4 linked regions of the Oryzias latipes genome follow. The protein of the gene in region 4 binds, or shares a complex with, the protein of the main gene of each other region. Links are inferred from orthologs where the notes say so. Each region holds a gene or a part of one and is shown on either strand. Other genes may lie near its edges.

Evidence for each region.
Region 1: sarnp (region 4) and thoc3 share a complex: the UniProt entries of both Homo sapiens proteins name them as parts of the transcription/export (TREX) complex. The link is inferred for Oryzias latipes from reciprocal best matches to the Homo sapiens genes SARNP and THOC3.
Region 2: sarnp (region 4) and thoc5 share a complex: the UniProt entries of both Homo sapiens proteins name them as parts of the transcription/export (TREX) complex. The link is inferred for Oryzias latipes from reciprocal best matches to the Homo sapiens genes SARNP and THOC5.
Region 3: sarnp (region 4) and thoc7 share a complex: the UniProt entries of both Homo sapiens proteins name them as parts of the transcription/export (TREX) complex. The link is inferred for Oryzias latipes from reciprocal best matches to the Homo sapiens genes SARNP and THOC7.

The regions. Positions count from the first base shown.
Region 1 is NC_019868.2:29,382,025-29,388,005, forward strand, and holds thoc3 (THO complex subunit 3), read right to left. Parts: upstream 3,233-5,981; 5' UTR 3,198-3,232; coding exon 3,018-3,197; intron 2,497-3,017; coding exon 2,340-2,496; intron 2,266-2,339; coding exon 2,061-2,265; intron 1,984-2,060; coding exon 1,822-1,983; intron 1,756-1,821; coding exon 1,655-1,755; intron 1,571-1,654; coding exon 1,407-1,570; 3' UTR 1,267-1,406; downstream 1-1,266. UniProt on the Homo sapiens protein: Component of the THO subcomplex of the TREX complex which is thought to couple mRNA transcription, processing and nuclear export, and which specifically associates with spliced mRNA and not with unspliced pre-mRNA.
Region 2 is NC_019867.2:13,552,055-13,558,611, reverse strand, and holds the start of thoc5 (THO complex subunit 5 homolog), read right to left. Parts: upstream 3,567-6,557; 5' UTR 3,435-3,566; intron 3,235-3,434; 5' UTR 3,203-3,234; coding exon 3,104-3,202; intron 2,933-3,103; coding exon 2,789-2,932; intron 2,472-2,788; coding exon 2,358-2,471; intron 2,100-2,357; coding exon 2,002-2,099; intron 1,499-2,001; coding exon 1,352-1,498; intron 1,280-1,351; coding exon 1,165-1,279; intron 1,089-1,164; coding exon 956-1,088; intron 1-955. Other genes in the region: tfip11 (tuftelin-interacting protein 11), read right to left, coding at 3,965-4,311, 4,437-4,602, 4,716-4,858, 4,998-5,241, 5,367-5,535, 5,613-5,716, 5,844-5,978, 6,122-6,301 and 1 more. UniProt on the Homo sapiens protein: Component of the THO subcomplex of the TREX complex which is thought to couple mRNA transcription, processing and nuclear export, and which specifically associates with spliced mRNA and not with unspliced pre-mRNA.
Region 3 is NC_019863.2:16,701,628-16,707,730, forward strand, and holds thoc7 (THO complex subunit 7 homolog), read left to right. Parts: upstream 1-2,935; 5' UTR 2,936-2,955; coding exon 2,956-3,043; intron 3,044-3,267; coding exon 3,268-3,388; intron 3,389-3,814; coding exon 3,815-3,942; intron 3,943-4,034; coding exon 4,035-4,121; intron 4,122-4,215; coding exon 4,216-4,273; intron 4,274-4,362; coding exon 4,363-4,429; intron 4,430-4,532; coding exon 4,533-4,602; exon of another isoform or gene 4,603-4,679; coding exon 4,680-4,741; 3' UTR 4,742-4,837; downstream 4,838-6,103. Other genes in the region: interferon-induced GTP-binding protein Mx, read right to left, coding at 5,148-5,372, 5,475-5,726. UniProt on the Homo sapiens protein: Component of the THO subcomplex of the TREX complex which is thought to couple mRNA transcription, processing and nuclear export, and which specifically associates with spliced mRNA and not with unspliced pre-mRNA.
Region 4 is NC_019865.2:25,903,328-25,909,964, forward strand, and holds the start of sarnp (SAP domain-containing ribonucleoprotein), read left to right. Parts: upstream 1-2,839; 5' UTR 2,840-2,855; coding exon 2,856-2,966; intron 2,967-3,798; coding exon 3,799-3,898; intron 3,899-3,985; coding exon 3,986-4,029; intron 4,030-4,298; coding exon 4,299-4,369; intron 4,370-4,603; coding exon 4,604-4,655; intron 4,656-6,133; coding exon 6,134-6,207; intron 6,208-6,637. UniProt on the Homo sapiens protein: Binds both single-stranded and double-stranded DNA with higher affinity for the single-stranded form. Specifically binds to scaffold/matrix attachment region DNA. Also binds single-stranded RNA. Enhances RNA unwinding activity of DDX39A.

The DNA of each region.
Region 1 (5,981 bases), on a different chromosome or scaffold from region 4:
GTCTAGACCAGTGTTTTTCAAACAGTGTGCCGCGGCACACTAGTGTGCCGTGGGAGATGGTCAAGTGTGCCGTGGAAAATTGCCCTCATTAACTGATCTAAAAACATTTCCCATCTCCAGGATATCAGCTCTCTGTTCATCCAAACAGGCCCTGATAAAACACTGAGGAGTTAGGAATATAAAAGATCGTAAAATACTTTTTCTTTGCGTTTATTTTATTTTATTAAAGACATTTTGATAAGAATGACCGTACCGCGATTCAGCTGCAGCTCCGGCTGTATTTGGGAAAAGTCCCGTCCCTTTGACTGTCTCCACCAATCATTCTTGAGGGGCTTAATCACATGTCATCAGTCTGACCAATCAGAAGTGGTTAAAGTCTTCACTTCCTTGTCCCGATTTAGCTCGTAAAGTCGCTCAGTTCTAACAAAAATACCAGCTAAAGCTCGTCTTTTGCGCTGTAGCTTTCCACAGAATCCGGTATCAGACCGTGGAACAAGTGAACAAAACAATGAAGCTCCGAAAAGCGATCTTCGGCCGTTTTATGCACTACATCTCCCATGATGCATTGGGTTGTGAGAGGGACAGCGCACAAGGAGATCTGTCGTTAGACGTCTTGAAACCAACGAACACACCTAAAACTATTTTTAAATCTTCTAACTTAACTTTTATTGAATCTTTTAGAAAAAAAACAGCTGCAGTTTCCAGCTTTTTCTGCAACAATTATCTCAAAAATGCATGTGAGATTGTGGAGGGGCTGTAGATCAATACAGACTATGAGTTTATCCTTCTTTTTTAAAATTTTTGGATGCTGGTGTGCCGCGGGATTTTTTTTAAGGTTAAAGTGTGCCGTGGCTCAGAAAAGGTTGAAAAACACTGATCTAGACCCACCGACAGTGCTCTGAATCTTTTTTCTTCAATGATTTGTGATCTTCACTGGTGTCCATGGATTACATGAAATCTTTCCACCTTTATCCACCTTTGTCATGGTAGGGAGAACATGTCAATGGGAGGGGGGGTCATCTAAGATAGCACAAGGGTTAATTATGGTCAAAATAAAGGACCAAATCCGTGAAATTCAACCCACACGTATAACTGAAGTGTCCCAGCACAGGAGGAACTGTTTTTCTATCTATAGTATTTTCTCCAGCATCTTACTCCGATACACATTTCTATAATTTATCATTTTAGTCAAATACTAAAATATTTATTCCGATAGTTGCAGCTCAGTTCAAGCATAAGTTAAACTCAATGTAAAATCAGAAACAGTTTTAAGTTTTTCTGCAGGTTAAAAATGATTTTATTATAAAAAAGTATTTTACAGCTGTACAGTACAAAATAAAAGGGGGTGAGTGAGGAGCTCCCTCTGCTGGAGACGGGACGTTACTGCAGAGCGCCCGCAGCCCCCCTTAGGAGTCGTTGGGAAGGCCAAAGAGCTTGACCGTCCCCGCCTCGCGGTTGTTGTCGTACTTGCCCTCCTTGTCGTCGCAGGCGTAGGCCAGCAGGGGTCTCTTTGGGTGCCAGGCGACGGTGAAGGTGGGGGAGTCACACTGCACCTCCCACAGCTTCTCCCCTGTAGGGTGGAGGAGAGATGGGCTTTGAGTGACAGCCGAGTGGGCGGGATCTTCACCGCCTGTGCGGCTGCAGGTTTACTGACCCGTTTCCACCTCCGCGATGTCGATGAAGTGATCCTCCGACGCTGAAGCCAACATCTTGCCGTCGTGGCTGAAGCTCAGCGTCCTCACCGGCCAGTCCAGCCTGCAGCAGAGCAGAGACTCGAACAAAGCTCGCAGCAAACGCCGGACCCTCGGCGGCTCAACCCACCTGGAGAAGCAGCGCACGCACACCAGCTCCTCCACGTCCCACAGGCTGACCAGCGCGTCGGCGCTTCCCGTGGCGAAGTACTTCCCCGTGGGGTCGAACTTGATGCAGATGCAGTTGGACGGGTGAGCGTTGATGGACTGGATGGGCTTCAGCTCCGGGTAACTGCGCAGCACCAGAACCTGTTTTTATTTCAATGTGACCGGTGGGCGCGGGTCGGCATGCGACAGTGGCGCTCTGACCTCAGGATGTTGATGCAGCCGTTGCCGTTGGTCAGGAAGAACATGTCGTTGTCGTTGTTCCAGGAGATCTCGTTCACCTCGAACTTGAACTGCTCCTCCGCCCTGGAGCGGTGCGTCTTTGCGTCGATGAAGGTCACCACGTCGTCCTTGTTCCCGACGGCGATGGTCTGGCCGTCTGGACTCCAGCAGATGTTGATGTTTTCACCTGGAAACAAAGTCAGTTCAGACGTTAAAACGTTCCTCGACATCGTTCCGGGTCTTCAGATCCGTCCCGGTTACCCTTTGTGTTTACGGTGGCGATGCACTTGGTGGTGCGGACGTCCCAGATGCGGATGGTTTTGTCTCCGGACGCCGTAACAAACAGGTCCGGGTTGTTGGGATGCCAGCACAGCTGATCCACGCTGTCGCCGTGACCCCTGTAGTTGTTGTCCTTGACCTGGGGAGAAGACGCACTTCAGTGGTTGGTGGCCATTAAACGTTTAGTACCGTTCTAAAACGGTATGAGTTAACATTTATGCTGCAGTGGGTCTTCCTCCTCCACCGCTGAAGTCTTTGTCCAACACAGAAACATGAAAGTTGGAAGACTTCAGCTTCCTGATGCAAACTCAGAGTCAGGATTCAAACCCAGAACCTCACTAGCTTCAGAACCTCAGATGTGCATCAACTAAGATGATGGATTAAAGAAGCTGACGGAACATTTCATGACTTGAGGTGAATATTTTCCCCTTCAAGTAACTCCCAGCTGGAAACATCAGCTGCTTCTTTTTTTTTAATAGTTTTTATTATTACTTTAGTTTTATTTTGACTTTTTAAGGGCGATCCACAGTGACAAAACACCGCCTTCTCCTCTGAATCCATCACTTCTCTGTTTTTAAATAACCTTCCAAGGAGTTTGGCACGCGCGTCTGTCTTTGTGCTAAAGCTAGCATGCTAGCAGAAAACGAGCCGGTTTCTCACCAAGCGGTCCTTTTCCAGGACGAAAACGCTCGCGGTTTTGTCGAAAGACCCGGACGCCAGCCTCCGGCCGTCGCAGCTCCACGCCACCGAGTGAACTTTCGCCGAATGAGCCGGAAACTCCCGACTTTTGCTGTTATTTCTGAAGCTCTCCTGCATCTCCTGATAGTACTGCGACGCCATCTTGGTCCCACTGTGTGACGTATGGTTTTTAGAGGAGAGCGCGAGGGCCCCCTGCTGGCCGGAGGACCGCGCGTGCAGTTTACTCATCGACCAGTGAGTTGACGCGTTACTGAAGACAGATCTTTGAACTATTGTTACTTTTTGGGAAATTCTTGGATCAACTGGAATTATGGGAAAAGACTTTTGAAAATAGAAAAACCAGATGATCCAGATAATTTCCCCATTGATAATAAATAAATAAAGATAAAATATTTATTATTTAAGATAATTAATCTTATCTTTACAGGCATTAAACATAGACATATTCTCATATTTTTGGAGCATTTTGGAACTAAAGTGTCACAAAGAAATGACAGTATTCTTCAAATAAAACACTTTTTGTGTCACTGACAGGATTTTTCTTTTCCCTGATTTTAGATTCCAGAGATGAAAGAAAATTGCAAAGGTGGTGCTGACATCATCAGGTCAAAAATAACTAATACTTCATATGATATGTGCTTTTATTTAGTACAAACAAATAAGGCAGACCGTAAAATAATCTGTAAAATGTAGACGTGTTTTAAAAAGTGACTTCATTACTTACTTCTGCTAATAATTCACCAATGAAAAAGACAAAGACTGTTTGGTTTGATCTGAACTGCAGTTTATTTCAGGTGTGAAAATTCCGGTTTAAAAACATGGAAACTGGATGCAGAAAATCAGTGTGAGGGTTCAATTCCCCCATCAGAGGGGGGGGGGGGGGGGGGGGGGGGGGGGGGGGGGCGGGTCAAAGCTGCAGGGTTTTACCTGCACAGGTGATCTCACTCTGACTGAGGTTTTCCAGCAGCTTCTAGGGTCAAATTCTTCTCGTCTGGTTTGGGTCTGGAACCTCATGGAAACTCATGGTGACTGACGTGAGACAATCGTCCCTCACGTCTGCATGAAGGTCGATCGTTAGCCATAATGGAGCCGACTCTTGTGAAACATTAGCAGGACCATGTTTGCTCAAATTCAGCAGAAAATGTAGACAACATTCATGCAAAATGGGAGCTGTGTGTCATTCCACCCAAAAAATGTGGATCTATTTGCATATTTCTGTGCCTCTAACTCGGTCGTTTCCCAGATCTCAGTAAGAGCCGAACTTCCTGTCCTGACTTCAGGATCGTGTTTGAATCTACGGTCAAACGTTTTGGCTTTTGCTACGTTTCAGTCAGAAACACACCAGCATTTTTGTTCCAGGTTTTTGTTGCCATAGTTACGGACATCCCAGACTGAACTGTTGGAGGTCCTCAGCAGAGCTGCATCAGCTGCAGCTTCTTCATGTCCTGCATAGCCAAACCGGTTGATGCTACATGCTAGCGCTGCCCAATAGCAGCAAGTCTGGATGGTAAGCAGTGAGCTAAGGCTTGATGACGAATATTTGGACTTACAGAGAAGCACTTGTGTTCGGGTCAGACCCGGACGGAACGGCGCACTTTAGCTCACAGCTAGGATCTGCTTTAGCACGGCGAGAAAATATATATTGGTTTTTTCCCCCATTATTTTTCACAAAATGTGTGAAAAAAATGATCTTTGTTAGCTTAAAGCAGGTGCTAGCTCGCTAAAGTGGACTAAAGTGTTGCACCTCAGTTAGATTTGCGAGCGACTGACCTTTAACTGCTAGCTAAGAATGTTAGCAGTTAGCGAAGGCTCCTTGCAGGAGACGGAACCACTGACTGCATCTGAGAACTGGACTGAGTTTACGTCATTCCTAGAAAATGGTTTAGTCTGGCTCCAACCAAATGAAGTCAATGCGGACGCCATTTTTTTCAGGATGCGGCCGTCGCCATGTTGGAATTGTCAGTAAGCAGTGATTGGTCAGAGTCAACATTTCCATAGCAACAACTCTGGCCAATCAGTAGTAAGGATTTGAGAGGGCCACACCCCTTCCACTGAAAGTGAGCTCTGGAGGATCTGTCAATCAAACGCTTTGAACAATCCATGTGAGACCGCCTCCTGCTTTTGAGGCATCTGATTGGTCCGTTTATAACTTGAGGAACAGTTGTTTATTTCTCTGTAGAAGTCTGTGGGATTCTGGTTTCTTGGAGCCACTTCCTGTTTGGGATGCCAGGGAGGCGGGGCCACTCCGTCCAGTTCTCAGACACAGTCGGCGGTTGGAATGAGACTCTCATCTTAGGATTCAGAGGAATAAAACTCGGCTTTTCATGTCAAAAACAGCTGACGTTGCAGAAAACGGTCACAGAGGAACCGCACGCCGCTGCCACGCTTCATGGTGGCGTCAGAAAGGCTCCGACGCCGTCTGGGTCCTATAAGCACAGCTGGAGGTTGTGGCGTCCGCGGCACCTGTGCGTACAGGCCAACGGGCTGTTTGAGGGTAGGAAGACATCGTTTCTCCTGGGGAGGGACGGAACAGCAGGAGGTAGAGAGAAAACACAAGCCCCTCCCACATCTCCTCATCAAGGCCTCAAAGTGTTCCTGAGGATCCATCGGCCCCCCAAGCATCACACCTGCCTTTGATCCGGACCCTGGGAAGGACCGGCGTCCCGCCGTGAGGACGCAGGAGGGGGTTCGACACGGTGGGGGGGGTCGTGCTGTTTTCTGCTCCCATGGCTGCACTTTAACAGCACTGAAGGCATCTCGATTCTAAAAAAAGCTTTGATTTCTCCATCACGTCATCTGCTGTTTGCCGAGCTCGCCGCCGCCGGAGCTTTCAGCTCGCCACCGGTTTATCAAAGAGGAAACCCCCCACTGACACGGAGTTCCCACGCTTTTGGAAACCTTCCTCAATGTTCCAGGAGTTAAAGG
Region 2 (6,557 bases), on a different chromosome or scaffold from region 4:
TTTTATTTCGTTTTGAATTTTTGTTTTTAAATTTATTTAGTTTTAATTAGTTTTTAGAGGCAGCTTTACTAGTTTTTATTTTTTGAAATTGCTTCGTTTTAGTTTAATTTTTATTAGTTGTAGTGTTAGTTTTAGTTTTTTCATTTTTTTTGTAAATTAGGATATTTGTCAGGTGCATGATTCAAAATCACCAGAATAAGTGTTGTATGATAAAAAATCAATCAAAGATACATTTTGAAACACTTATTATTCAGAGGACACAAGTACAACCATCCTTAAATTAAAATACAACAGCCGATAACAGCATTACGTTATCTGCTCTTGCTTCTTTTTCGGGGGAGGGCGGGCGGCAGGCTAGCTTGTAGGTAGTGTTGATTTGCGTTTTTGTGTGCGCTTTTTAAATGTACTTTTCGTAGGGTTTTTTCCCTTTGAGGAGCGTTCCACAAATTTTGTCTCCTGCTTCGACTACAAGGCACTTACTTTTGTTATATTCAAAAAAGTCCCAAATAGGACTCTCCCGCTTTCTCCCAACTTTTAATGCAGCCATCACGCTCATGTAAATGTCTATGACCACGCTAGCCGGCAGTGTCTGACAGACATCATGTGATGTCACAGACAACGTGATGCCGTAAGGGTCAGATACACAGTAAAACTAGCAGCGTGAAGTAAATAGATTTTATTTCAACCCAAAAGACTTATGTATTAACAAAGACGAAAACAAAGTATTTTTTGGGGTTAATATTATTTAGTTTCAGTTCGTTTTATACACACAACAAACAGTTTTAGTTAGATTTCGTTTTTTATAAAACTCTCGTTTTTATTTTTATTTCAGTTAATGAAAATGTTTTTTCAGTTCTAGTTTTAGTTTTTTCGTTCGTTTTCGTTAACTATAATAACCTTGCTTACAACTCATATTGACATTTCGGCTATTGTCCCTACAGAGAAAATTGCTCACCACAAGCCTGGCTGTAAGCATTCGCTTGAACGAACAGCACATAAAGGGGTGGAGGAAGGTGGCGGGCAATCTCGGTCTGTTTCTGAGTTTGCTCAAACGGCATGGACAAATACTCCTGCACTGGGATAGACGCCTGGGAGAAGATTTAGAAGAATATTAAAAACTAAAAACTTAAGATCAAGTTCAAGTTGAGCTTTATTTTTTAATACCTGCATGATAGCATTAAGTCCCGGCTGCAAACTTCTCAGATGCTCCTTCTTCACCTCAATGCTCTTCTGGATTTTCTCCTTTGTAGACTGAGACTCCTTATATTTCTCTGCCAATCTGTATCATACAGACGTTTTAGCACATATCTATTTCAGGAGAATGAAAAACAGTAACAACAACAGAGCAAACCTCTTCCTCTGTTCAAGCTCCCAGTCCAGCCGGGCCAGTGTGAGCTGGTGTGGATCGTCTTTTGTGAGCTGAGGCCTGGAGATCTCTTGAGGAGCATCCCGGTAAAACTCCTCCTCACTGACCAAGTCTATTTCTTCATGCTTTGACCTGAGGCAAAAACAAAAGGATATTTTTAACCCAGGGTTGTTTCTAAAACTACTAACATTGTTGTGCCATGTCAATAAAAACAGAATAAACAGGTCAAATAATTAAAAAGCATACATTTTTTGTCGGAGTGGTGGAAAAGTCACAAAGTTTTAAGCGCTTTAGAAAACAATAAAGAAAAGAAATTAAGCAATCTGGATAAAGTCCTAGAGAAGACACAAACTAAATTGGTTCGTCTTTATTAACTTTCACATAAATATGCCCCCCCCCCCGGGTTATCGGCTCTTTAAAAGACTCAGTTGCAACACCAGTAGAAAGCAATTTCAGGTCAGCAACTTAAATATTGTGATTTTATTCCTTCCTAAAGCAATTAAAGAACTAGCAATGTGAAATAAGTGAACAATCTAGTATTTTTCAGTACATACATTTGCAAAAATGTAATCAGATAACAAAAAAAGTGGTTTAATTTTGTGTTAGAACCAGTTAATAAATTCGGAAGGACTAACTTGAACTCCAGACATTTGCTGATCTCCTTCTGAAGATGCATGACTTCATACAGCAGGTTTTGCAGCTGAAGGTGCAGCACATCCACCTTCTGTTTTGCCTAGGAAGACGAAAAATCAACGATCAGGCATTGATACAATGGTAACATTTTAAACACAGTTAATATTTAAACAAGTTGGCAAACAAGACAAGGATTCGACATACAAAAGACCAATAACAAAAACATATAGCATAGTGATCAATCAAGACACACAATAAGAGTGACATTATCGGATGATAAAACAATTTTTGAGTGCATAAAACAACGTTCACATTTCTCTTAAGACAGCAATGCATTACAGAGACGTGTGGAAGTTACCTCGTGCGTCTGGTCTCGTCCTCTCTTTAGCCGCATGTGGGCCAGGCGGTTGAACTTCTTCAAGGTCATGAAGAGGATGCAGCTCTGCATGCGCTTCTGCTCAACCTCGGCACACTGAAGCAAAAGAGAAAACACAATTATTTATTAAAGACGGGGCTTACAATGTAAAGTCCCTTCACCATGATGGTGTATCTGTCAAAAACATGACATTAGAGACATTAGATCATATTTATTGGCAATGAACACTTGGCAATAACTGATAACACTTTGACCTCAAAAATGTCATAACTACTGCAAGCTTGATGATTGTCAGAGTTCAACTAGATACTTTTAAATAATTATTTACCTTACTTTACTTTCTATGCTAAGGCTGATGAAAATGATCATTTGGCAGGGACATTGGCGTGAACTGTAAAGTTGAAAGAGCATACCCCCTCTTTAGCTCCATTAGCTTTAAGCTCCTGGATTTCACTCATGAGAGAAGCCAGAGTCTCACAGGACTCTTTAAACTGCAAGTAGTCGTGTTCAGGCTCCCTGCCGTCCAACTCCACCTCCTCATTATACACGCGAACATCCTAAAAAAAGAGAGACATTATTGTATTAAAACTCTTATCTATGAAGAATGTCACTCCACAGATTTATAACACTACTACTTTACTGTGATCGCCATTATAATAATAACAAAGTATAATAAATATACTTTGTAATAACAAAGTCAGAACTCGTGAGAAACACTGGTTGGGTACCTGCTGCTCGACCTCCCCTCGGCCTCGCTTCATCTCAGTGGTTCCCCCTTCGTTACGAAGAACCTTCGACTTGCGTTTCTTTATAGAGTCAGATGACATGGCTGACTAAATGTAACTGCACACTTATAACTCTGAAAAATAACATATGTATACATAGATGTATATAGTGAGAATAAAACAACTTCGATCGACAAAATATGCTAGCATGCTAAACTGTTAGCACCATCATGGCCTGTGACTAATAACGGCTCACAACCGCTAGCTTCTACGTCCACAATATCAATTTACTGTTTTGTTCTTATTTTCTGCATTTGAAAACTTGCTTGCGTACCTTATAAGCGGAAAGGTCCACGTTAAGAGGCTAAATTACGAACAGGCAGATGTTATGGATCGCACAAAGCCTTTCAACGGAAGCCGAAATGACTGAAAATCAATGGTAATCGCTACACTGCCCCCTACGGTTCCTCTTGGTATTACTAATACTGGCTTGATTAAAAAATAATCTCCGCAATTTTTTAAACATTTTATACAGTGAACGTAAAATTGTCGTTAAAATAAGAATGTATATATTTTTTCAACACAGCAATATTTTATAAATTAATTTTAAGTTGGTGTGCAAATCAGTGAACATACATATCCCCAAATAAGAATAATTAAAAAACAAACCTCCACAAATATTTTGTATCAACATATCTATTTTTGGGTACAAAGGACAACAAGAAAGACAACATATAAACAGAAATAATTTATTTACAAATATCACATTAAAAACTACATCTAAAGATACATGAAATGAACTGGTTTATTTTTTTTAAGACAAAAATAAAAGCACCTGAAAACAAAATATCTTTTAAGGTACATTTATTTTGCCATATCTATCAGACTTTGCAAAGATGTTGGCACCCAAGTCTTTTCCCCCTGCACAAACACAACACCTCTGTCTATGTAAATAACAATGCGGCCAAATGTGTAGAGCTGTTTCCCCTCGTGCCGTTTGGCCACTATGGGCATGAAAACAATGTTGTTTTCCTCTGCTTTGGCCTGAATTAGATCCTTAAAGTTAGTTGGCACACCAGAACCGATGCCTCTTTGAGCAACACTTTCTGCATCCCGGCGCTCTTGCAAGGCTTCATACTGGAAGTCTTTCCGTCTCTCCGTCTGTGTGAGATAGGCAATGTTCTCTCTTGCACCAGGCTGCATATATCCACCTGTGAAAAGGAATAACGGACTCAACATAAGTGAAGCAAAGATCTCTCAAACTTTGCTTTTATAGTTTGAATTAAGGTAGATCTTTGGTTTTCATATTTATGAAGTAGACTGTGTGTACACAAACCCATTCCTGATGACACTGCACGGTTCATGATGTCCAAAGCCTCATTAAATTTCTCTTTAATGAGAGGTTGAGTCAACAGAATGTCACTAAACAAGCCTTTCCAGCCGAGATACCACTTTGTGATTTCCTCGTAGTTAGGACTATTGCTCAGCCATGAACACAAAACCTAAAAGCCAAAAATAAAAATAAAAAATACAGCAATTTCAGAGGATTTATTCAACCTATATATTTAAGAAATACGCTTTACGTATTTTACTATTTGTTATGACATTCACATACCTGTAACCATTTTGGGAAAAAGTTCTTGTCAAAAAGGGACACAAGACTGGAGGGAGACAACATTCCCTCCCAGTCCATCACCCAGTGAAACGGCTCCATCTGCTGCTGGTGCGGGTTGATGACCAGCTCTTCCAGACATAAAGCTTTGGCAGGAAAGAGAGATTTTCACATGTGAAATACATATATGTATAAATAAATCTGTGACAGGAAATGAAAAGGTATAGAAGTCAGTGATCCAGTCAGTTTTGCAACGCCTAAAGCTAGTGACTAAAGAAAACCAACCTAGTTTAGGGATGATGTTTTTCACCATGAAGGCCTCCCATGCACCTGCTGTAAAAACGTTCTTCCATGGCTGAAGAATGAGGCGCGCTGAGGCATCACTCGGATGCCAGCGCTGCAGAGCGTTGGCAAGTTTGCTCCTGATAGGTGGGTAGAGAGGCTCCAGGCGCGACTGGAGTAGAGGAAGCCAAGGGTGAATCCAGGAGTGGATGGGCACCGTGTCAGTTAAAGGATTCCAGTTATCTACCTAATAAACAAGAGAAAATGTAGGGAGATTTTGACAGGTGATACACACACTTCAGATGCAAGAAAAAGTAGAACAAAAAAAAAAAAAAAAAAGCATGTAGGATTGTTATAATTTGTGTGCCTTGCCTCGCGCTGCAGGCGGGGTAAGATCAGCTGTTCCAGTAGGTGATCCAGGATCCACTGAGGCAGAAGAGGAGCCCACAACGTCACACAGTCCACCATCGGTCCAACCATACGGGGCTGCCACCCGGACACACACATACGCATCACAGGGATCCACACTTCCCATAAAAGTCTAAGCAAAGAGAGACACATGCAGTTAAAAATCAAAATGTGAACATTTACATGTAAAAGTGAGTATTTTAAACAGACCTGTGGTAAGGATCCATGTTGGAGTCTGGGCCACTGGAACGAAGATCCCTGGATTCAAGGATTGCTCTCCACTGACCAATGTCTTCCAGACAGTATGCACTGTCCTACAACAAAAAACAGTCTTAACTCTAGTATCTTAATTGAGCAACATGTTGAAAATAAGGTGTTTGTTTTCCCCCCCACAGAAATAAAAGCGTAATAATTTAATTAGAATAATTAAAAAAAAAAAACCTTTAGAGGCTCCCATGAGTGAAGTTTCTCCTTAAGTAAAGGATGAACAACTGCCACAGCCAGGTCTGCCAATCCCATCATTTTATACTCTTCATAATAATCTGTTTGTAAAGTCTCAAAGATCTGGGCACACTCCTGGGCACAGAGAGGTGAGAAAATAAACAAATAAGTATGTTCAAAATGATTAAATGTTAGAAGAATGGAGATTAAAAACCATTAGGAACAAATAAACTGCAAGATAAGTACATCTAGTTTGGGTATTTTCATGTGCCACGTACCTGAAGAGTCGGTCCCTCCCCTGGTGGCGTCTCTCCAGAGGGAAAACGCTCCACCAGTGCCAAAACAGCCTCCATTTTCTGGATGGCATCTTGCTCTGCTTCTAGTCTGCTCTGCAACGCACGGGACTCATGACTCAGAGAAACGACCACGTCCTTTTCATGCTGTAGACGTCTGGCCGACTACAAAAGAATAAATAAAGAGAGCAGAAGAAAAAAATTAAATCTGGAAGCCCACTTGAAACGGGTTAATAGTTGAAAATGATTTGAAAGAATTTCAGATTTTCCTCTGACCTGTAAAATGTCCTGTTCTGTGAGGTCGATCAGCAGCTGAAGATTATGCTCAAGCTCAGGGAGAGCGAAGCCGGAACCCTTCTGATCCCGTGTGGACATGGCTGGTGGGGTTTCATCGGGAACACTGTGTTTGTTGGCTATCTGA
Region 3 (6,103 bases), on a different chromosome or scaffold from region 4:
CAGCACAAACTGCTTGTACACATGGTAGCTTGGGCTACAGGATCAAGTTTTTTGGAGTGAAATGTAAGGGGGTGTAATATGTCTCTGTGTTTTTGCATTAATTTAATCTTAAATTAAAATTAATTTTATATCTATAGCACCTAATTACATACACAAAAACAAACAAAAATAAAAGAGAAATGAATAGAAAAAGCTTAAAGAAGACTGAAAGAAACATTTTTTTATTACTTTAGAAATAAGCATTGTAATAATACAAGACTGCTGATATAATAGCTTAATTTGAATGAGTTCATGTTGTTATTTACGGTTCATAAGTTATTTTAAAGGGTAATGGTGAGGGAACTAAACAGTTTTACAACAGCTCTGAGCACCAATTGTTTATAAAATAAACATGAATATTTTGGCGAAACCAAATGAACTCTGAGTTTACGGCTTGAGGAGGAGGAGGAAGGACAAACATGCATCAACTCCCTGTAGACTAAGCTTGCTTGGGACAGTTCTTCAACCTCCACTATTACTTTTATAAAAAATTAATACTACACCTACCTGTTCGCTTGTACCTGTCTGCCACTCCCTACGTTAGTATCCAGATATCTGGTGAAGGCTGTCCTCAATCTGATTGATTCTCACCTGATCTTAAAAGGTGGCCAAAACCAACTAAACTGGATTGGATGAAATGTTTTTTATGATGTATGAATGATCATGTTGTCTTATTTACAAGATGTAAAACTGGATTACATTCTGAGGTGACTGGAGAGAAAAAAGATGTGTTTCCATCCAGGTGGGGATTTAGAGATATTTGCGTACTTGGGAACAAGGAACAAAAGATACAACAGCTAGGCCTTATGCCAAAAGGTCTATGGAGACAGTTCTCCTTAGTAAATGTTGCATCTTTCAGTGTTTACATTAAAAATGTTGCAGGTTTCTGGTGGGGAGTGCTATTTCATTTAACAAGCGGCAGCGTTAGAATGAAGCAAGCAGAAACATTGAAGCAACCAGCTGATTCAGTGATGTTGCACAGGAAAAAAAGTTAACTCGAAAGAAAACTCAAAGGCCACTAAATAATTTTACCCAACACAAGCAATTACAAAAATGACTAAACATTAACTAATGAAAACAAGACATTGCTTTTGAATTGAAGATTAACAGAATCAGGTTAGTTCTGTCGACTGGTATCAAAAGGTATTTTATTCCTACAGTCTACTATCATTTTATATTTTTACTGTGGACTTCAAAAACACATTTTAATTTTGTGAAGAGATTTGTCTAAATTAATTAATTTAGAACCTTATAAATATTTTTGAGGTTGCTTTTTGTTTTCTCTTTTGAACCAACAACAGATGCAAGAAAAACAGATTTATTCCAGGTTTATCTAGAAATTCTAGGCGAGAACATCTTATCTTCTGTGAGAACACTCGGGATTGGGTGGCATCAGTGGGTCAACTTTGAAGTTCTTGGCAAAGCTCAACATCTGCAAAGGATTGCCTTCAGATAAAACTGAAAAGTTATAAAGTGACTTTCACAATCATTTGATGTAAGCTTTTTAGAAGATTTCTGGTGAGATTTTAAAAGAGGTTGAAGCAATCAAAATTTTAATTATTTTAAACTGTGGACACTAGCCATGAGGGTGTTCTAAGTGCTGAATCTGCACATAATGACTGTATCCAAATCCTTTTTGAGATTGTTAAAAAAGGTGCTTTGCTTGTATTTTCAAAACCATAACACACTCCCACTTAAAATGTTTGGTTAAATCTAGGCATGAATATGTTAACCTCTGATTTCTAATTGGCAAACTGCTGAAAGTTTGTACTGTTTTCCTGTAAATCTAATATACGCGTGAACCTTTGTTAAATAACAAAACTCTATTTGCCCACACGGCTGGTGTTCTGGTGAGAAATAGAGCACATTAAGTTTCAAACAAGTTTCATTGTAATTTTCTAAGGTGTAGGAACAAACATGAAATCAGACCTGAATTGATCTGTCAGAAAAAAAACGAGGAAGTGGTGACCAAGAAAATATGTTGGCCAAATGAAAACCTGTTTAAATCTATAGTTGAAGCAGGTATTGTACCTATAACCGTACCAGTAACATTACTATTTATGAATTATTATAAATGGTGAAATTAAAGCTAGATAGAAATCTTTGTCCTCAATAGCCACTTAGTAGCTAAAGGTTCTTATAGAACAGAGGTCTGCAACCTGAGGCTCCGGAGTTACATGCAGCTCCTTTATGATTCCATTGTGGCTCTTTGGTTTTGAAAAAAAAACGCTAACGATTTGAGTTACTAATAATGTTTTGGGGTTGTTTTTTTTTTTTTTTAATTTATTTATTAAACTTTCTTTTATTTGGATTCTGCTCCAATGTTGTCATGTTAATATATGACTATAAAAGTAGAAAAGAACGAATATGCAGCAAAGTCTGACTGATAGAAAAGTCTATGTTTGACCTGACTTTCTTACATGTTTTATTCAAGTGAGTCTGTTGGAGGATTTAATTTGACATGAGGTTTATTTCGTTTGAAAGGAACCTATATATGCTGCTGTCAAAAGTAAAGGAAGTTAATATTTTAATAGAAAGAAAATGATAAAACTTTCATAATTCAATTATTTTAATATCTAAATGCTACATGGTAAAAATGAATGGTTTAATGGTAAAACAAAATATGTAATGTGCCATTCTCGATTGATAATTCAGCTTGCAATTTAAGCATTCAATCTAAAAAATGCATTTTAGAATTTAAAATTCAATGTGTAATGCTACAATGTAAGCTGACATTTTTAAAAGCAAAATGTTAAATAAAACAAAATCAATTGTATTCTAAACTGTCATTGGTTTTTAGTCCAATAATATTCTGCAATATAATAAAAGTTCAATTTTGCTGTTGAGTCTAAAAAGCACAAAAATGTGGGAAAAAAATTGCCACATTGAATGTCCACCAATAGGGGGCAGTAGAAAATGAAACCGCTGATTTTAACCTGGAAAAAGAATCTTGCTCTACCGGAAATAGTATTGCTCATTGCAAACATGGGGGCCGTAACAGATGGTAATTTGGTGGTTACTTCGTTTAATATAAAGTTTTATTAAAAATAAATAAAGTGTTTATGTGTTAAGTTATTGTATACAATAGCTTATTTCTAGAATGTAGCAGTGTTTACGCAATCAGTTGGGAGAACTGTGCAGCTAATTTATTGCCCTGCAGTGCTAGCTCAGATTAGCAGGTTGCAATCTAGCCTATAGTTTATCTTGTCTCTTTCGTTTCTGTTAAAGATGAAGTCATTCGGAAACGTCTTCTTATTGATGGCGACGGAGCCGGAGATGACCGCCGGATCAACCTGCTGCTTAAAAGCTTCACTAAATGGTGCAACTCGCCCGGGACTCCGGAGGAAGGGTCAGTGCTGAATGAATCTGAGTCTGAGCTGACGCATCAGAAGATTTACTTTCCAGATTTTAATGTGATTTAGCATTTACGAACAACTCTTCTTGCGAAAGAAAAGTCACATTAGTTAGTTCTTACGTTGTGTGTACAGGCAATTCCAAGCTAGTTTATCAAACTCCATAGAAGGTTAACGGGTCTCAGTTGCATGCAGTTATACTTACCCAAGGAGAAGAGTAACTGTCTTCTCTACAATCTATGGCAAGCAGAGTGTGACACACAGCACAATGTTTCAACTCTGACCATGCATTTCAAAAGGCTGTTTCTATACATTTCCATGATGTGTTTTTATATACCCGAAGAGTAGAATGGTGTCTTCCTTGTTAAATATGCAACAAAAAATCTCACTTTAATTCCTTGTGGTCTTGTGTTTGCGTGTAGATTCACACAGTACCAGCGGATGTTGGGCACTCTGGCTCAGTGTGAGTTTTCCATGGGAAAGACGTTGATGGTTTATGACATGAATCTTAGAGAAATGGAAAACTATGAGAAGATCTATTCAAATATAGGTGAGGTTTTATTGCTCTCGTCTGGAAGCATTTCTGTTTACAATATTAGATTTCATCTATATACCCCCCCCCCCACCCTCCCCCCATTGCAGAACAAAACATCACATCTGCACATGAGAAGATTGCAGAATGCAAAAAAGATATTCAGAGGGCAAAGAGGATACGAAAAAATCGCCAAGGCAAGGATATTTTGATATGGATTGCATATTTTATTTATTGTCCTTTTTCAATAACATCCTTGGAGTATTATAAATATGTTTGTATTTTTTCCAGAATATGATGCATTAGCCAAGGTAATCCAGCAGCATCCAGATAGGCATGAAACACTCAAGTAAGTGGCTCCGTTAATTCAGATTTTCGATTGCTTGTAAACAGCGTACAACAGTTTTGCTTCATTTTTATTTATTTATTTTCTTTCAGGCAGCTAGAGGCGCTTGACAAAGAGCTCCAACAACTGTCCCACATCAAAGAGAATGTGGATGCAAAGGTATATCCAAACAGAATTTATGCAGCTTCTGTGTATTTCGCTGATGATTTGATTTATTTTAAAGTTGTTGTTTTTTTCTATCAAATTTACTGTTCCACCATAGTTGGAGTTGAGGAAGAAGCAGTTCCACGTTCTTCTTACCACCATTCAGGAGCTACAACAGACACTTGAGAGTGAGCACTTTATTCTTAATGCCAACTGATTTTAAAATTGTTTCAAAAAGTTAAACTCAAAATTTGTCTTCTTTTAGATGATGAGAAGTCAGATATTGAAGATGCCAGTCAAGAGAGCCCTGCAGGGAACAGTGAATAACAGTGGAACAGAATGAAATGTTCTTAAATGAGTTTGGGTTTGTGAGACAGAATGCTTTTCGTATGTATTTTTGAATAAAATTCTCTTGATTCTGTCGCTCTGTCTGGTTTTCCCTTTTATTGTTTCAAATAAAAATAAAAAAATCAAAGTTCACAGACTGATAATAATTTCCCTCTATATATATGCCCAAATAAAACAATGAACATAAAAACATGCTCCACACTCGAGGTGATTATAACAATATATAAAAGGAAAACATCTGTGTGCCCATATAATGACTTTTGCTGCTGTAAGATAATCATTCCTGTTAGAAACAGCAGATTCTACTGGACTACCCAAACACAACAACTGAACATTTACACTAACATGTAATTTGGAGATGCAGAAAACAGATCCTTCAAAGTTTTTAGAACTCTACTAGGTATGCACGGGCCTGCAAAAGGCGCTTAAGGCGATTCTGCAAAGTAGCCCTCTTACTGCCGATGTCAAAGTCCTCCTTCAGCAGGAAATCCAAGTTCTCCTTGTCCTGAATCATCTGCAGCATCTCTCTCTGGAGCTGGCTGGCTGATTGTTGCAGCATTTCATAACGGATCACCAGGGGGATTTGATCAGCTAGACGCATGCCAGCAATCTGCAGGATAATGTGGAATAAAAGATAGAAGCCATAGCAGCTATGCATACATTTAGCTAAAATCAACGAAAATTCAGATTAAACTTCTTCAAAAAAAAGTACCTTGTAATAAGATTTTAGATGCACCATCAGCTCCTGAAGAGTAGCGTAGTTGTCGAGGCTGAAGACGATGCTTCTTTCTGAGTAAGGAGCTAGCGGTACGTTCTCTGAGTCCTGGTCTTCTTTTTTGCTCTCACTTAGACTATTGCTGTAGGTCTTGTCTTGGGAGTAAACTAGCAGCTCCATCTTAAACTGAGTTCTCAGCATGGTTTCAGCAGAGGACTCTCTTTCTTGCTTTATGGCTTCAATTTTTGCCTGTTGTAAAAACAAAAAAAAACCATTTCATTTCAAATGAACTCAATATAAACTTAACATAAACATATCGTGCGTGTGTGGGGTTTTTTCTCCAGGCACTTTGGCTTCCTCCAACCGTCCAAAACATGCTAGTTTTTTTAGTTGGTTAGTCTAAAGTGTCCCTAGATGTGCATGTATGAGTAATTGTGTGCCCTGCGACAGACTGGATCCCCAGGAGCTCTATGACCCTGACAGGGATATAGCGGGTTAAGAAAATGGATGGATGGAATTTCTATTATGTCTTCCAAATTAACGATGAACAAAATTAAATACAATTGTGCTCTTTGTACAACCAACAGAATGAGAAATGTTAAGCTGACGACGACCAATGAAGGAAA
Region 4 (6,637 bases):
CATTCCCCGTTCGTAACACTGCATACATTTAGCCCATATTTTGCACGGATAAAAATTGGTCATATGTGAATATACGTGGAAAAAGGGAGAAAAGTTGTGGTCTTTACATGAAATTTTCCTCAGATGATCACAAAGGAACCAAGTTAAATTGTAAATGTTTATATGCAATTCATTAGTGATTTGTGCTTTAATTACATGCTTATACCTTGCATCGAATACGCGACATAAGTTATACATTGGTGGTACAAAGTCTATTAGGCATACGTGGAACAGTCAATAAAAGCCAAAAATTTGCGTATGCATATCACAAAAATTACCAACAACTGCGTACGCTTTATGTAATAATTGCGTAGAAACTATGTGAAATACGCATAAACTGTGTAGTTCATATAAGTGTAATTCTCAAGCAACCAAAAAATTTTAAACAACTCAAACTGAATTCATGTAAAGACCTGTCGCCCAAAACCATAAATGGACATCTGTGTCTATCGACGAATGACGAACGCAAGAAACACGTATGAATGACGTAAACCACACATGTCTCAGTCACAGTATAAATATAAACTTACTGTTAGTAACAGAGTAGGTTTAATGTCTTGTGTGTGTAAGAAATCTCTGATAAATAATAGGATACTTGAATAGACGGAGGAGGAGGCGTTGGAGTTTTTTAAATATAATTTAAACATAAAAATATATATAAATAATGCTTTAAACACAGCCTTCAAAACGTTCTTAATGTTTTCATTTTCTTGTATATAAAACCAAGGATGAATAAAACAAATTTAATTTGACTTTCAAAGAACAACTACTAAAAAAACAGCAAGAATACATTTCAATCCAAACCGTGTGATGCACCACGGACCCGATCCTGGGGAAAGCGTACATTCTTATTGTGTACCATTAAAGTGTCAAATTGGGCTAAAATTAAGAAGGATTTATTATTTATTGCCTAGTTACATTACACCAATCTTAGTATGAGACAGTTGGGAGATTTTTCCTGCTTTAATAGCAAACTAAAAATAGGATTTTTCTGATTTTTTAAGTGTTTTTGTTGTTGTTTTATGAAACACAAACCGAAACAAAACCCAAACATTTGACCACTTCATTGTAAAGACGGTGTATTGTTGCATCCCTGCAAAAAACAGGTGATGCTTTTATTCATGAAAGGTTGTAACTTCCTAAACCTCTCATAGATACATCTTCACAATTGTAAAGAAAAATGTATAACAATTAGGCCCTTTTTTTAACCAAGACTTCACCGAACTGTTTAAATTTAGATGCATTGAGAGATTTTCCCGCTTGATGTCATGGAAGTGCTCTCATACACAGAATCCGCACAGACTCCTTGGAAGGTTTTGTGTAGCTTTGTCCGCTGTATCCTGCTGCACGCTTCAGTGTGCATCTTAATGTAATGTGAAGGGGTAAGGTTTGATGACTAAACATTAACGTGCAGCAGCAGCTTTGTGTTTCTGTGTCATTAGAACAATCGCTCACACATTCTTGCTGAAACAATGGAAGGAATGCAACCATAATGAGGATTATGGAAGCACTTGTGACTCCCTAAATTCATCCGGCTTTGTCCTTCATGCCCACAACTTGAAAGTCAGTCTATTGGAACTTTTTTTGTCTGTGTATCGTATGCCGAGCTGCAGCTTGGGTTAAACCTCTTTTTGAACAATGTCAGCATTCACAGCAAATCCAGTTTGAACACGTTTCATCTGTTTTGTGTTCACCCTGACCCCGCCTCGTGTCTCAGTCCATCCACGCCTGAGACCCGCTGGTGTTGGGTTCTTTCAGCCGGTGGCGTGTGTCAGCTGACCCTCTTTAAGAGCCAAGGTCAATGCTGTCAGTTTTTGTTCAGTATTGTTGTACTGTGATTGAATTTTTTTTTCTCTCACCACGAGAACTGCAACATAAATATAAAAAGGAACAAAATCTGTTTTACCTCTGTTGTGTGTAGTACTAAAACAGAAAAACTGCTTAAACTAGAATTTTATTTTTATTTTTTTTTGGTTAAACTCTCATTAATTGTTCAAACATTTCATACAAGCACCTGCATTCCTCTGTAAACCTCTCAGACTTGTAGATGGTTTTGATTCCTCAGTCCAGCCTGAATTTATTTTTTACAAACATGGCCTGGTCAGGTGAGTTAATAGTTTTGAAACCAATGTGTTAAACAATGAAGGTGACATTTTAGGCCTATCTGACATTTTAGATCTGTGAAGATCCACACCTGATGATTCATGGAAAATTAGGAAAAATAGTCTTTATTTATTTGCCACATGGATGTAGCAAATAATTTTTTCATCAGACAGTAATATAATTGTGTTTTATAGATGTGGTTGAAAAAAATACATGTTTTAGAAAGTTCCAGCATGATGTCAACTGATTTAAATGTAGCTGTTACTCAAATACATGAATGTGGATCCACTGCATAAACTGCTTCCATTATTCCTCCAGGTAAAGAAAATAAAAGAAGAAAATTAACTTCTAAAAAACATCCACAATCTATATGGCAAAGATAAGATAAAATGAACTGAGAACAAAGAAAACAGTGAGGAATGTCTACGAAAAAAGTATAAATAAGGATAAAAAATGTTAGTAAACACTTTTTATCTGAGGCTAAATTGAATAAGTATTATAAAATCGCATTTTAATCATGATTTTATATAATAAAAAGTTTGTTAAGGTCTTAACACGTCTTTTACATTTATTTTTACAAAATTTTGCGGCGATTTATTAATTTTTATTTTGAACAAAATCTCTACAAGTTTGTTTAAAATGCAGCAGGACCATCTGCACGGCGTTAATATGCCCGACAGGAGGCGCTGTGATCAATGACGTCGTTGTGATCAATGACGTCGTTGTTCAGGAGCACAGAGGAAGAAAAGCTCGACTCTGATTGGACGGCAGGAATACATCAACAGAGAAAGATGGCTGAAGTGGTGGAGCTCCAAAAGCTGAAGGTTGGTAGAATTAAAAATACGTTTTTCCTGACATTGGGTGAATTTCTTTGTGGTGGAAATGATGAAGTCAGTATTTACACCGGAACCAGCTAGCGGGGTGGCGGCGGGCTGCAGAAAATCGTGTTCTCCGGGTCTTAAGTCTACGAACCGGCATGTGTTCTGAGCTAATCCGGGCTAAAAGAACGACGAAGGAAACGCGGAGGGAAATGAACGGATAATCTGAGAAACTATCTTTCAACCCACCAGTAATAAAGTTCGACGTAAAACAATGAAAACAATCAGTTACAGCAAAAATCGAGAGGTGGGTAAATGGACCGAACCACAACCGCTGTTTGGAAAGACAAAATAAAAATGAGAGATTTTTTTTACTTAACTTAACTCAATCCTGCATTTCTGCTTTTCAAAGCAAATGTGATGAACGACCATTTTGAAAATAAGTAATCGTAACATACATATATATATATATATATATATATATATATATATGTATATATATAAAAGGAAAAATAAAATTCTAACAATGCACAAATTATTGTTATCAATTTAAACTGATTTAGTTCAACAGATGATGAAATCAGTTTATGTAGGTGCTTTCAGATCGTGGTAAATTTATCTTTAATAAAAAAGAACCGTCCTTTCGTTTACAGAGTTTTATGGAATAGTAAGAAGGTTACTGATGTGGAGATGGAAAAATATATATATATTTTTTTATAGTTTCAATTACACCAATATTTCCAAGCAGGTGTTGGCTGATCTATGTTTTACTTTTTTTGAATCACGTCAGTAAATTTTAAAACCAATTGTTAATTTGAGGTTTCATCTTCCCTTTCAGCTTGCTGAGCTGAGGCAAGAGTGTGACGCCCGCGGTCTGGAAACCAAGGGAAACAAGGGCGAGCTGATCGCTCGGCTCCAAGCCTACCTGGAGGAGCACGGTGAGAACCGGGTGACCCGTTTTTGCACATCAACCAAATGTTGTTTCCTGCCAGCTCATATTGTCTGTGTTGTCATCCAAACCACAGAGGACGATGTGGATGTTGATGAAGTTCTGGCAGAGGACACACCGGTAATGTCTTTTATTCTATCCGTTCTCTTCTAGTTTAGCAATAAAACAGAAACGTTCAATCAATGTTTGTTGAGAAAATCAATATTGATTTGTCAAATACACAAATCTATTCATTTTATTGATTACATTTCTTCAGGCAGACACAGCTCACACACAGTTTTTAGTTGAATAAACTCCAAATTTTATCATGAAATATTGTTCAGGTTTGTTTCTTCTGCTTGTTTGTTTCACAAAAGCAGTATGTCTGTTTTTTTTTCTTTTCTTTTTAGGAATTCACTAAAGTTGAGAGCTCCAACAGCATAAAGGAGGACAACCACACTGAAACAATCGCAATTCCAGAGTAAGTTAACTGTACAACAAATGTGCTTTTTCCTCTTTACCTTTCAGATTCCTCTTTGCGTGTGAATAAAGTTATCGTTTATCATTAACTATTATTGTAAGATAGTAACTTTTCAGGGAATTACAGTCGATGTTGCTCAGATGAGAACATCAAAAAAGAGTTCAGCTGGATCTGCTGGACTGTCATGTTCTTAGTTTTTTTTTTAATTTTTGAGAAAATAAATTCTACCTTCAGGTCTGAAGACAAGAAAGTGGTGAAAATCTCTCCTCCGTTGTCTGCTGGTGAAGTAAGTATGAGTCGTTTTCATTCACAAATAAACCTTGGTTTAGATTTTAGATCACGTCTGAGCTCTGAAATCTAATTTTAGAAGAGAAAAGCTTCAGAAAAACACTAGTTGACCTCAGACTTCACCTTTGTGCTCGTGTTTGCTCCTTTGGTTTGGTGTTTTTAGATTAAGTTTTGCTGAAATCTCACTTTGGGTAGATGCTAAAGCCAAACTGTTTAATACAAAAACATCTATTTTTCTGAAAAATAAAGCAAATCTTTCCTAAAAAGTGGAAAAACGAATCTGTAACTTAAATTTAACCAAATAAGAGCACAACCTAGTTATTTAAACTTAAATATTTTGCTTTTTTAAAGGACTCCATCCATTCATATTATTCATCATACTTGATGAATAATATGCTCTTACTCTGATAAGGACTGGATTATGGTGACTTTGCAAAAAAATAAATAACAATAGTGGTAGGATAACATCAGTGGCGGACCGTGCATTACACACCTGGGCCTTCAGTAGTGCAACGTCTGAATCACTCAACGCCTCATTAACCATATTATGATGCAGAAACTAGCTTTGCATTGCAGATTGAAAATTCCTGCAGCCACAATCAGTGCCTCTAAATACAGAAAACAGTAAACAAATCTTGTTATGCAACTACAGCCAGCACAAAACATTACCGCTACCATAACCACATCAATTAGGAATTTATTTATGATATTTAGATGTTCACTCATCAGAAGATGAGATTATTTGATGACAAAATCCACCCTCCTCTCTTTCCTCAAACAGTTCCATCATCCTGTCATGTAGATTATTGCTCTTCAGTTCCGTCAAGAAGTCATTTTCTGCTCGATCAAGGCCAGTGCTGAGAGCCCAGTCTGTCCATTTGTGTTGCTGCGTAGGTTTGAATTCACTTTAGATCCGAAAATGTCCGCTGGTCAGACGCAGTGAACACGGGGATGGTTGGTGCCAAACGCACAAATCTGTATGGCTGTTCATGCTCTCACTTAGATTTTTATTGGTTACTGTCTTTACTGTCAGGTGTTTTGGATAAAGCAATTGTCTAAAAAAAGAAACTTTTCTCAGCTTTATTGTCCCACATGGAGGAAAACTATTCTTTTCCCAAATGTGTCATTTAAAATTCATTGTTCAACCTTTAAAGCAGAAACCAATTCTTAATGCTGCCTTGGATAAATGTTCAGAAGAAGGGAGATTCTGAGGCTTCTGGTGCTCTCACATGTACAGTAGTTGTACTTCTGTCTATCTTTTTTCTGTTTTATTTTATTTTTTTAATCCTGATTTCCAGCGTCTTCCAACCGTCCTCGGCGGCCTTTTTTTACCTGGTGAAAACGCATCATCCTTTATTAGACACTCAGAGCCTGCAGCTTAGAAGAGTTTGGGGTTTGAAAGGAACAAGCATGTTTTTAGGGTTTTGTGATGAATTTCAGACAGTGACGTGTCATTTGTGGGCTTTTGTTGAGCAGAGGCTGCAGAAGAGGGCGGAGCGTTTCAACATGCCTGCAACCGCTGAGAGCAAGAAGGCCCTGCGGGCCGCCAGGTGAGGCTCCAGCTTTCCTCATTTCCCTACAGATGAGCGAGTGTTTCTGCCAGAAACACCGAGGAGAAGCACAAATGCAGGCTATCTTTGGGAGGAGAAATCAAAGATGAATAATAATAATAACATAGAAAAACAGGAACATTCTTTAGTGAAATGCATCTGTTCTTTGCACTGGCTGGAATTAGTTAACTTTTATATTCTGCAAACCAGGATATCTACAGTTGACCTGGTTGATACCCCCCCCCTCCCCCCCCCCCCCCCCCCATAGCTGTGGGATTTTTATCAAACTAGTCTTGTTTATTTTCCATGTGGTTGTGATCAAAATCCCAAAGTTTTTCTGTTGGTTTTTGTTGCATAGGTGAATTTGCAGGTGTTGAAATTTAAATTAGACATGACAACATGATTAAATGATTCAACCAACCTAAGAATC